Canis lupus familiaris: one gene and its partners. The protein of the gene in region 2 binds, or shares a complex with, the protein of the main gene of each other region. Links are inferred from orthologs where the notes say so. Each region holds a gene or a part of one and is shown on either strand. Other genes may lie near its edges. The genes, in order: MED31, MED20 and MED13L.

Region 1 (3,748 bases), on a different chromosome or scaffold from region 2:
CCAGCCCTGAACTAGACCTTGCCTGTGTCTCCAGGTCCAAATGGAGTCTCCAAGTCTACACATGCACACAACAGCTAATGAAAAAGCTTTTCTCCGGATTATTCAATGAATAAGTGGCTGTTCATAAAGGAGCAGTCAGGGTGTACAGGGTCCTGCAGGGAGAAGGATGTGGGTTTTGTGAATCAGTTGACACAAATCAAAAAAGTGACTTGGAAAAAAAATAAAAATACAAAAAATAAAAAGTGACTTGGATAAAGTACAAGTCTGAATCATTTTCCTATCAAACGTGTTTGTTTAAAAGAAAGACAAGAAAAAAAAAAAAAAAAAAAAAAAGAAAGACAAGAAGTTCAACTATTGCTTTCTGACTACCTAGTGAAGACAAAGAAGAGGGATGGGTTCAAGGTTGAAACAAGTGTGATGCTTGGCACAGAGGAGGCACAGCAGCTATAGACACACTGGTTTGGGTTTGTTTTTTGGACTTTTTGTTTAAAAATTAAAGGCGTGTGGCAACCCATCAGCAAGCAAGTCTATGGGTACCATTTTTCCAACTACATTTGCTCACTTTATGTCTGTCATTATTTGATAATTCTCACATTTCAAACTTTTCTTTATCATTGTATTTGTTAGGGTGATCTGTGATCAGACTCCATAAAACCTCAGATGACAGTGTTTTTTAACAATATTTTTAAATTAAGGTATGTACCTCTTTCTTGACTTAATGCTATAGTGTTAACAACCCTTATACGCACTAGAGAACCCAAAAACTTGGGTCACTTTATTGCAATATTCACCACATTGCAGTGGCCTGGAACCACATCAACAGTATCCAAGGAATGCCTATATTAAGAGTCAGGTAAGGTCACCTCCTCCAGAAAACCTTCCAAGTACCTGATGTTCTTTAATCTTCAGCCTCAGGTAATACCACTGCATCTACAGACTGTGGGTTCATTAGGGTCAGAAATTCAGTGAGATGGGGTGAGTGGTAGATAGATAAAGAGAGACCTGAGAAAAGAGAGAGGATTTTGTTTCACATGCAATGGGAAACCACTGGGAGGTTTTAAGCAAGAAAATACCACGTCATAATTTACATTTTTGAAAGATCAAGTTGGCTTCCCTGTGGAAAACTGTTTTGCTTGGTTTGGCTTGCGGGAGGGAGGACACAGAAGGAAGGTAAGAGCACAAGCAGGGAGAAGCAGGGGGGTGGACACCGCAATAATCCAAGCTGGAGAGGGGGTGGCTCTGTATTAAGGTGGAGGCAACTGAAAGAAGTGGAGAGATTCAAAATATACTTTTTTCCAATGGGAAATGAGAAAATCTGTCAAATATCAGTATTTTTAATGTAATAACTATACACATATTTAGGACTATAAAAATTAAACTTACTTTAGATACTTGGCATATTCTGGTTCTTTCCAGTAAAGCAAGTACTTAAGATAATTAACAAAAGCTTTGTCTTTGAAGTAACCTCTTTGGGCAAGAACTGAAAGGCATAAACAAACAAACAAAAAAATCTGTAGAGCAAACCAATCCTCGGACTACTGATTTGTGACCCCTCACATAAAGCATCTACTTATATAACTTCCCCACCACCAACACACACTAAATGCTGAACATAAGTCCCAATTTGTTCTCACACACACCAGTATAAGCGTAGCAGTTAATTCCACTGGATTGAGAACATATAAAAATAGGTATCATTAGGAACTGCAGTTCTTCTGCCAGAGATCACTAACAGCTACTCAAGTCAGTAAGAGCTCAAGGACTTACAGTTAAGATAATTGGGGTTGGCTAGGCACTGCACAAATTCCAGCTCCAACTGAAACCGAAGTCGATTCCCGGCATCATCTAGGAGGGAAGTGAGCAAAAATCATCCAAAGTAAAGGTGACTAAAAAATAAATAAAATAAATAAAAAACAAAATAAAGGTGACTATCTAAAGTGCTGGTTTGTAGAAAGAAAACAGCAGTGGAGTGTTCTGAGTATTGCTGAGAGTATCTCTGAAGGCATAAGGCAGGGATGACTGTCCTAAGCTGGATGTGGGAAGAGAGGGCCGTTTCCTCCCAAGTCTAGAGAGCAGGGCCCTGATTAATGAGACCAGTAACTCCTTAAGGAGAAGTCCGAGGAAGCGGGCGCCCCCTGGGCAGGATGTTCACCCTCTGGCAGCCACTCCCCAGGACCTCCAGGGTGACCAGTGGCGGAGGGCTGCAAGCTAAGCAAGAGGAGGGGGCGAGTGTGCTCCCGCTAGGGCCTGGCGGGGAGGGGGGACTGGTTCGGGGCGGCAGGATTTGGGAGGCCCGGGGGAGGGGGGTGTCAGAGCCCGGAGGCTGGGAGGGCCAGGACCTGGGATGGGTCGGGAGGCCGCGGGGTCGGGGCCCGGGAGGGGTTGAGGCTGAGGGGTGGTCGGCGTCTGCGCGGCAAGCGAGGAGGAGGTAGCCGCGGACAGGAGCCCCGCCGAAGTCACGCCACACAGGAGTCCCGGGGGAAGCTGGAGGAGGAGGCCAGCCGGCTGTAGCTGTGTTTGCCAGGGCTCCGGCCGCTACCTACCTGTCTCCATAGCGACGGCCGCGGCCATCGCCAGCAAAAGCGCCGAGACGTCACCAGCACGACGAGCAGCTTCCCGGAGGTCCCGGAAGCTGCGGCCCCACTTCCTGTCGCGGGGCAGTGTGGGATGCGGGGCGGGGCGGTCCTCTCGGGCCCCGCCCACCGGCCTCGCGCAGACTCGCAAGGGGCGAGGGGCGGAGCTGGGGCGCTCCGAGCGCGGGAGGGGTCCTGTCCCCGCCTCTCTGCTCGCCCAGTGACGTAGCCGCGGGGGTCCCGAGCGCCTCCGGGAGCGCCTACATCCCCTCGGTGGGGTCTCCCGCGGGGGCAGTCCTCAGCCGGGAGAACGCCCAGCGGCCGTTCCAACCCACAGGGACCCCCCCCTTGACCCGAGCGCAGGTGCGGCAGGTGCGGCAGGTGCGGCAGGTGCGGCAGGTGCGGCAGGTGCGGCAGGTGCGGCAGGTGCGGGGTCGGCACTGGGCCAGCCCCCTCCGCCGCGCGTCGGCCGGGTGGCCGCACCGTTGACCCCGGGAGCCCCCTTGCAGCAAGCCAGCACTGGAGGTCCGCAGGCCCGCGACGCTCCGCCAGCCTGATGGGCTGATGGATAGGGAGGCTGTTGTTCCAACCACCCTCACGATCCAGACTTCGGGGACAGGGAGCAAACCCAAACCGTGACCACTGGGAGGATCACACCGCGGCCGGAAACCGAGGGGCAAGAAACAGACCTCCATTAATTAACCAGTTGGCCTTTGTGTTTCAAACCAAGCAGGTATTTTGTTTATGCTAAGCCCTGTGCCCTGTACGGGCACCCCCAGTCACACACATTTCCATACAGGTCAGACTAGATAAAAGTCAACATCTACCATGAGGCGTGATCTCGGAAGGGAACCCGGCCCGGGTCTCGCAGAGGGCGGGGAGGGCAGTACTATTTATGGAGCCTCTCCTCTGTGGGCACTTGGACAAGGTAGGCAGGACCCAGGCTCTCAGGAGCTCACACTGGTGAAGGGGCACACGGCAAATGATGAAAAGACCATTTTCTATCGCAATGAGTAACTGAAGGAAACAGGTAATGGGAGGGGTTCCTCACTCAGAAGTGTCAGGGAAGGCCTTGGTTAGGGGACTTGGATCTGAGGCTTGTGTGGGTGGACAGTGAGCCGTGCAGGGGTCTGGGACAGCAACGCAAGGGCTGGACGGGAGCAATCTTGGAATGT
Region 2 (3,648 bases):
ACAGTAAGAGCACCTGCAGACTCCTGTAGTATGAATTCGGTAATTACAGTGAGTTTGCACAAGAACAGAATGAATGATAGATCAGCTTTGGGTTGTTTGTTTTTCAGGGTTGAAATGTTTTGCTCTGGGTTTAGCAGGAGGTAAAAGGTACCCATTGGCACAAGTGGTCAGGAGGGATGTGGAGAAAGGTTGGTGCAGAGCCTGTTGAGTTCTGGAAGTAGCAGCAGAGTGGAGGCCTATGTAAAGGTCTCTCTGCCCCATCTCGTTTCCACTGTTAAGCTCTCATTCTTGCCTAGAATATCTTTCCTTTTCTATGTGGCCAAACCCTACCTTCTCTTTGTATCATAGTTCAGGTGCTATTTTCTCCACGAAAGTTTTTCCTATTGACTCTTGCACACTTTGATCCTTTCCTGCTCTGGTCTTTTCTTCCTTCCAAAAAGATTTCTGGTCTATCCCACATAAGCGTTTTGGTCTTACTATCTCCTTAATAGTTTTTTATTGTCTTATTGTCTCTAATGAGAGTGTCAGTTTCCTGAGGTCAGGTACTAAGTCTTCTACTTGCATGCCTCTTAAACCCTAGCACGATGTTTGGGATGATTAAGTACTTAGTAAATACTTTATAGCTAAGTCTTCATGAATACTTGGGATTGTGGTAGTGTATCCATTAATTCTTACAGTGTATAAACAGGGGATCTTGCTTTCTATTTCTCAGTTAACCAAATATATGTAGCTTTCCTTCTTGCAGTAAATCTCTAGTAGTAATCAATGAGAAAACTCATTTCTCAGAGACTGGAAAGATTGGATGGGGCTTGAAATGAGACCTTCTGATTCCAGATCCTGAGTTCTTTCTGTGAAAGTGCTGATTGCTTCCCAAGTCAGCTGATGCCTTATAGCACTCCAGGGGTTCATCATTACCTTCAGGGTAAAGTCCAGACTTCTTGAGGCATGGAAAATAAGTCTTACCATAGCTTCACTCTGGCCTTCCTTTCCAGCCTCAAGCTCAGATACTCCCCTTTGCTGCTTCTGTGGGGCCTCTTCTTTTATATCAGGAAGGAGGCCAAAGGAGAAAGGGAAGGACAGAGAAGAGAGCATTTGCTTCATTTTTGTATACTCAAATGCTTTTAATATTACTTCTTATTTTCCTTATTACATAACATAGGATTATACAGAAGACTATGGGAAGTCTCTGTGGGTGATTGATTGTCATCATTAAGCACCCATCTGTGGAGCCCATCATTCAAGAACTAAACTTACCAGTGCTATGGAAGTTCCCTTATGCTCCTCATATTTCCTGGGGAATGAGCTTTTACCACATACTGCCTTGCCCACTGCTCTTCTTCCTTCCTCTTTGTGGAACAGACTGTTGGTGAGGGGATTACCCTCCATTGCCCTCCAAGATGGCTGAGGTAGTGGCAGATTGCCATCTGGCCCTGTTCCATGCATTTGACTATTCCGAGGCTTGCCAACAAAGATCCTGATGCTGATAGGCTCTCTGTCCCTGTAGGTCAGGCCGGGAAACTGATGTACGTGATGCACAACTCAGAGTACCCTTTGAGCTGCTTCGCCCTTTTTGAGAATGGCCCTTGCCTTATTGCCGACACCAACTTCGATGTGCTCATGGTGAAGCTCAAGGGCTTTTTCCAGAGTGCCAAGGCCAGCAAGATTGAGACCCGGGGTACCCGTTACCAGTACTGTGATTTCCTAGTGAAGGTGGGCACAGTCACCATGGGGCCCAGTGCCCGAGGCATCTCTGTAGAGGTAAGACCTTGGGGGAAAAGGAGCAGTATATGCTGAAGGGCTGCTCAGCAGAGGGATTGGTGGATTTCCACGTCCCTCTGAGTGCAAACCGCTGTTGATGCCTTCCTGATCCTGTCCCCAGAGCATCTGTGCTTCTCTGTCTCTGCATCTTTTATCCTTTCTTTAGTCCTTCGGGCTCTGGCCCAGGGTGAGAGTGGGAAGCTGGGGTTGCAGTGGCAGAAAGCTTAGGAAGGCTGGCTTGCTGGAGGAGGGAAGGGATAGCCAAGGGAGACAGGTTGATTGTGATGTGGAGGAACTGGTCACCTGTCACAAGGACTGGAGCAAACCAGGGGGAGACAGTGTACAGGTAACTTTTGGGTGGTGGGCCCTAAATCATGTAACTACACCCCTCTCCATGGTATACTTTAAGATAGGTCTCAAAGGTTCTGTAGCAGAGATGAGCCTTTCCTTTTGATATGCTGTCAACTTTCTTTCATGGTGGAAAGAAGTTTGTGTGGTGATTCCATCTCTGAGGTATATGTTGGAGACCGCAAAGAGGGAGTGTGGCAGTAGCTGGCTTTGGAACCAGTGAAATTCCTCAGTCTGCTATGTGCCCAGCTCTGTGTGAGGAGAAAAAAAATTAGTAAGCTATAGGGCCTGCTTTTTGAAAATGTGTGATTGAGAAAATGAGTGAATCTGAAACACACCGACTGTTTTTTAAGTTAATTTTTAAGGCATTCCCAGGCACAAATTGCTTTGGGAATTTGGGCCAATGAGAGCACTGCTGACTTTGGGGATTGGGATGCTTTCTGCAGGAGTAGCATGTAAAGAGGGATTTATAATGTAGAGATGTGGGAATAGATGAGGCCCACAAAGCATTCCAGGTGGAGAAAAGGGCCTTAGTAGTGATTACTGCTCTGAAACTCCAGTGACCTCTGGGACCAAAGTTTCCTGACTTCTTTTGGCTTGTGATATACCTTGCATTAGCTGAGTCCCACTGGGAACCCACTGTCTGCTTATCCTTCACATTTCTAGCTTTTTTAGTACAGATACATCCCAGCTCTTTTTTACTTGTTTCTCCTTATGGTTACTAGTTATTTTTCTTGCCATCCCTCCAGTGAAAAACTAGGAAAAAGGAATGAGAAAGTCTAAGGTGTATCTCCTTTGGCCCCTGCCACATGGGTTGGGAAATTACTTCTTAGAGTTAGGTGGGGTCTATCTTGGGGGTAATGTTTGGTCTTAAAGAGACTTAGTGTCTACTTTTCTCTCTGGTCACACACACACACAAACACACATCCTTACTTTTCTCTCATTCTTCATTTTCTCTCTCAGACTTTTTCTAGCTCTCCTTCGATCTTAATGCAGCATAGTAGGGACTATACAGTTCTGAGATCATCAAAAGGGGCCTGTATCAAAAGGGGACTTTTGGTCTTGTGGGTTGGGCTGTAGGTTGATAACTCCTAAGATGAGATGAGAATGCCAGAGATGCCTAAAGGGAATAATGCTGGGTATATGGAATCCCAGGTGTTTGGGTTGAGTATTTCCTGTGGAGCAACACTGTGTTAAAAGGTGTTTGTCTTTGGTTTGGGGCTGGAGAATTTAGGAGCAGGGGGTAAGAGGTATAAGAGAAGCAGAAGACCTTGTCCTTGCCTCACTCACCCTTGTTCTATGTTCTTTTGGCCCTAGGTGGAGTATGGCCCCTGTGTGGTAGCTAGCGACTGCTGGAGCCTACTGCTCGAGTTCTTGCAGAGTTTTTTAGGCAGCCACACGCCAGGAGCCCCAGCAGTGTTTGGGAACAGACATGATGCTGTCTACGGCCCAGCAGATACCATGGTCCAATACATGGAACTCTTCAATAAGATCCGCAAGCAGCAGCAGGTGCCGGTGGCTGGGATTCGTTAGTGACTGGCA
Region 3 (3,648 bases), on a different chromosome or scaffold from region 2:
TCCCCTTCTCTGTTCCCCCCCCCCCCCCAATAAATACATACATCTTCAAAGAACTGAAGGAAACTTGGAGCTGGCTAGATCCCCAAGAGCAATTTGAGACCTGCTGGGGCTGGGGTCTTTATCCCAAGAACCCTAATAAGTCATTGGTGGGTTTATGAAGAGGCATTGACATCTGATTTGTGTAAAGAAACCAGCTCTGAGTGCAGTGCGGACTGTGGATTTGGGAATAGCAGAATGGTGGAAAGACAAGGTTAGTGCAACTGCTCAAATGAGAAATAATAGCTGGTTTCTTATCTTAGCAAAGGGGATGGAAAAGAAGTAGAAACATAAGGTATGTTGAGGAAGTGGTAGGACTGCAGGGCTTAGTAGTGGGTTGGATTTCAGGGGTCAGAGCGAGATGTTAAGGAAGACACCCAGGTTTGTGATGTGTATACCTGGAGAGGTACTGATCATTCGAAGATAGGTGTACTGGAGGAAGGCTAGGTCTGGGGAGAAACTCTCCTAAGTTGAGTTTTGGAAATTTTAAAGATCTCTTCTTGAGATATCCAGGTAGAGATGTCAAGTAAACACTTGGGAGTTTATGGGCCTGCAGCTCAGGGGAAAGGGAGTAGTTGGCTTGTAGATAGTAAAGTCAGGCACAGAGGAGGAGGAAAGCTAGGATGACAAGATGGCTTGGGACAGAACTTTGCTGAATTCTGCTGTGTAACCAAGTTTTAAGAAAAAGAGTGGTCAGGAAGCATTAAAGCGCAGCTGAGCTTTTAAGAAGAGGATTAAGTATGTCTTTTGACCACAGTGAGGAGCTACTTCTGTAGACTACTTCACTAGAGGGATGGGAATAGGTTGGGCTGGAATGGTTGGTTACATGAATGAAACATGGAGCTTGCTCTGAACAGCTCTCAGCCTTGTAGGGGAGAAGGCTATATAAGCTTCTTAAATAACAGTTGGAAATCTAGAATGAGAAAGTATGCTTAGAGGACAGAGATCATTGGAGTGAGGGATGATAGGCACTTTTTTGAGTAGCCAGGCCCAGAGACTTCTCAGAGGTGGAGACTTGTAAGAAAGTATTCAAGGATTACACTCATTTCTGTAACTGCTGAGTTTTGAGCACTGTGCCTTGTACTTAGCAGGCCTCTAATTAATGTCTGCTGGATGCATTTATGAATTACAGAAAGTACAGTCTTCCCCTCTAAAGAAATGTGGGTGATTATCTTGGGCGGTTCCTTTTACTAGATAGTGGCCTTCAGACAGAAAAGCAGTGAGTGGGTGGATCAGTACTGTCATCTTTGGATATGAAAAATAGCAGATTTTATCGCAGGGGAGGTGTGGGTTCCAAAGTCAGAAGCTTAACAGTATCAGACAGATAATGTAAATGAGTGAATGATGCTGGAGCAGATTTGCAAACAGCAGTGCCCTCACTACATCTTTCCGTGCACACGTTCCATTCTGTGTGCACAGGAATAGCCACAAGGGATGATGTCTGCTTTTATTTTTCTCTAACCTGTGATTCTCTTTGTCTGTCATTTTCCAACTGTTGATAGAGCCATGGTTACAAGAAGTACTTTTTTCTTTACTATAGGAAAAAAAGAAGCCCAGGTTTGAAGGTACAGGTGATCATCCCTGCTTCCTTCTCAGGTAGGCAGCAGAGCTGAGTGAGGAGGGCCTCTGAAGGGGGCAGTTGCTCCTTGGCTTCAGCGCTGCTGCTTATGCAAGAATGGGGCCTGCTGCTTGCCAGGTCTCCCAGTTTGTCAAGAGATGCTGGAAATTTACATTAGCTACTGGTGTTTGATTTAGGGATCACCTAGAGGTGTCTTAAGCACCCTGTGTTTCTTTAGTTGGTAGATAAATCTTAGATTTCCATCCATGCCCCTTTCCTAATCAGCTAGAGAAGGAAAGGTCTTTAGGTACGCAGCTGTGCAAGTTCACAGCTGATCACCTCAAACTTAATTAGCTCTTTCTTCAGATCTCTTTGAGAATTCAGTGAGCATTACAGACCTGTCTCCCTGGGAAAGAATATGCACATGTTCGTGTGTGCACAATTTTGCAGTTTGAGAGGTTTTTTTCAAAGGTTCTATGTTAAGAGCCCCTCCTCTTAATAGGAAGGATGTTTCTTCTGAAACCTTGAATCCCACCTTCCTGTGTGGACAGCTGGCTTTCAGTACTGCTGTTGCTTTTGCCATGTTTTCTTGTGCCTCTGTCTGCCTGGAAGGTTATATTTCTCTCTGTGCACTTTGTATTTTGTGAAGATATTTTATATTACGAGCTTTTTTTAACAGTTGTGAAGAGCTTCTATTTAAGTTTTTCCTCCTACTCATTATTCATTCAAAACAGTGATATTTGTAAATAAAATAATAAATAAGAAACTTTTACAGCTCTCTTTTCCTATGAACAACCTTGGAAACAGGTTTGTATGATTTTAAAGAGTCAGGCTCATCTATCTTTTTACTTCTAATCTCCTATAGTTAACCTTTTATATATAGAGGAACCCATTTCTCCTTTTATTATTTCCACTAATAAATTATAAATTACTTTATAATAATAAGATAAGAAAATATCTTTTCTCTCCCCTGCTAGATCAAGCATTTTAGAATCTACTAAAAATAAAATCTACCACCAGTAATGTCTTTGTCACGGACTATAACTGAGGTCCAGAATGATGGCAGAGAGAAGAAGAGCATGCCGGTCCCCCTTTATGATCTCCATTCCTTTCATTTTCTTTCTTTTCCAGTGCTAGACATCAGCATGCTCTCCTCCCAAGATGTGGTCCGCATGCTGCTGTCCCTGCAGCCCTTTCTCCAAGACGCCATCCAAAAGAAGCGCACGGGCAGGACCTGGGAGAATATCCAGCATGTGCAGGGGCCGCTAACATGGCAGCAGTTCCACAAAATGGCGGGACGGGGCACCTATGGTAGAATCTCTTCCCTGTTTTAAATTTCTTCGTGATTTTTTTTGTTCCATAAAACCCAGCTTTAGTTACTGTCAAGTCCTTGCTTCACTGATAAAATAGAATCTTTTTCTTCATGGCTATTAAGGTTTATAATCTCTTTTCTTTCCTAAAGTCAGTTTGGAATTAAGTTTTCTAAGCATCCTTGGCAGAATCAAGGTCAATGAGGAAAATAATCCTTAAAGAGATTATTTGTTAGATTTTCCTCATTTTCCCGATCCTCATTGCATTTTCATCTGGATGAACATCTGAACTAGTTCTGTCAGCGTCTTCATAGTCAGGATTATAGTGCTTATTTTAAAGGAAATGGTGTAGTACTGCCTGGAAAACTAACTTTAACTTGTTCTCGTCTGCCTTCTGATCTTATTGGACCTTTATTAGAGCATTCTGACTCATTGAAATAAAGTTCTTCATCATGGGCCACGTAATTAGAGGGTTTGAAGAATACTTTTGAGAGTGATTCTGTTAACCTACAAGGAAATTTCTGATGCCAGAATTAAAACTAATGCAGCAAGAACTTCAAGGTCTCCAGCTTGTACAAAACAGACTCACGAGCCCTTCCTAATGGCCTTCTTGTTACAGGTTCAGAAGAATCTCCTGAGCCATTGCCCATTCCTACTCTGCTGGTAGGCTATGACAAGGACTTCCTCACCATCTCTCCATTCTCTTTGCCATTTTGGGAGAGGCTGTTGTTGGACCCATATGGG

The links.
Region 1: MED20 (region 2) and MED31 share a complex: the UniProt entries of both Homo sapiens proteins name them as parts of the mediator complex. The link is inferred for Canis lupus familiaris from reciprocal best matches to the Homo sapiens genes MED20 and MED31.
Region 3: MED20 (region 2) and MED13L share a complex: the UniProt entries of both Homo sapiens proteins name them as parts of the mediator complex. The link is inferred for Canis lupus familiaris from reciprocal best matches to the Homo sapiens genes MED20 and MED13L.

Annotation. Positions count from the first base shown.
Region 1 is NC_049226.1:30,892,309-30,896,056, reverse strand, and holds the start of MED31 (mediator of RNA polymerase II transcription subunit 31), read right to left. Parts: upstream 2,700-3,748; 5' UTR 2,572-2,699; coding exon 2,544-2,571; intron 1,846-2,543; coding exon 1,768-1,845; intron 1,481-1,767; coding exon 1,384-1,480; intron 1-1,383. UniProt on the Homo sapiens protein: Component of the Mediator complex, a coactivator involved in the regulated transcription of nearly all RNA polymerase II-dependent genes.
Region 2 is NC_049233.1:10,759,342-10,762,989, reverse strand, and holds part of MED20 (mediator of RNA polymerase II transcription subunit 20), read left to right. Parts: intron 1-963; exon of another isoform or gene 964-1,037; intron 1,038-1,254; exon of another isoform or gene 1,255-1,504; coding exon 1,505-1,758; exon of another isoform or gene 1,759-2,357; intron 2,358-3,423; coding exon 3,424-3,639; 3' UTR 3,640-3,648. UniProt on the Homo sapiens protein: Component of the Mediator complex, a coactivator involved in the regulated transcription of nearly all RNA polymerase II-dependent genes.
Region 3 is NC_049247.1:13,128,753-13,132,400, reverse strand, and holds part of MED13L (mediator of RNA polymerase II transcription subunit 13-like), read left to right. Parts: intron 1-2,725; coding exon 2,726-2,905; intron 2,906-3,523; coding exon 3,524-3,648. UniProt on the Homo sapiens protein: Component of the Mediator complex, a coactivator involved in the regulated transcription of nearly all RNA polymerase II-dependent genes.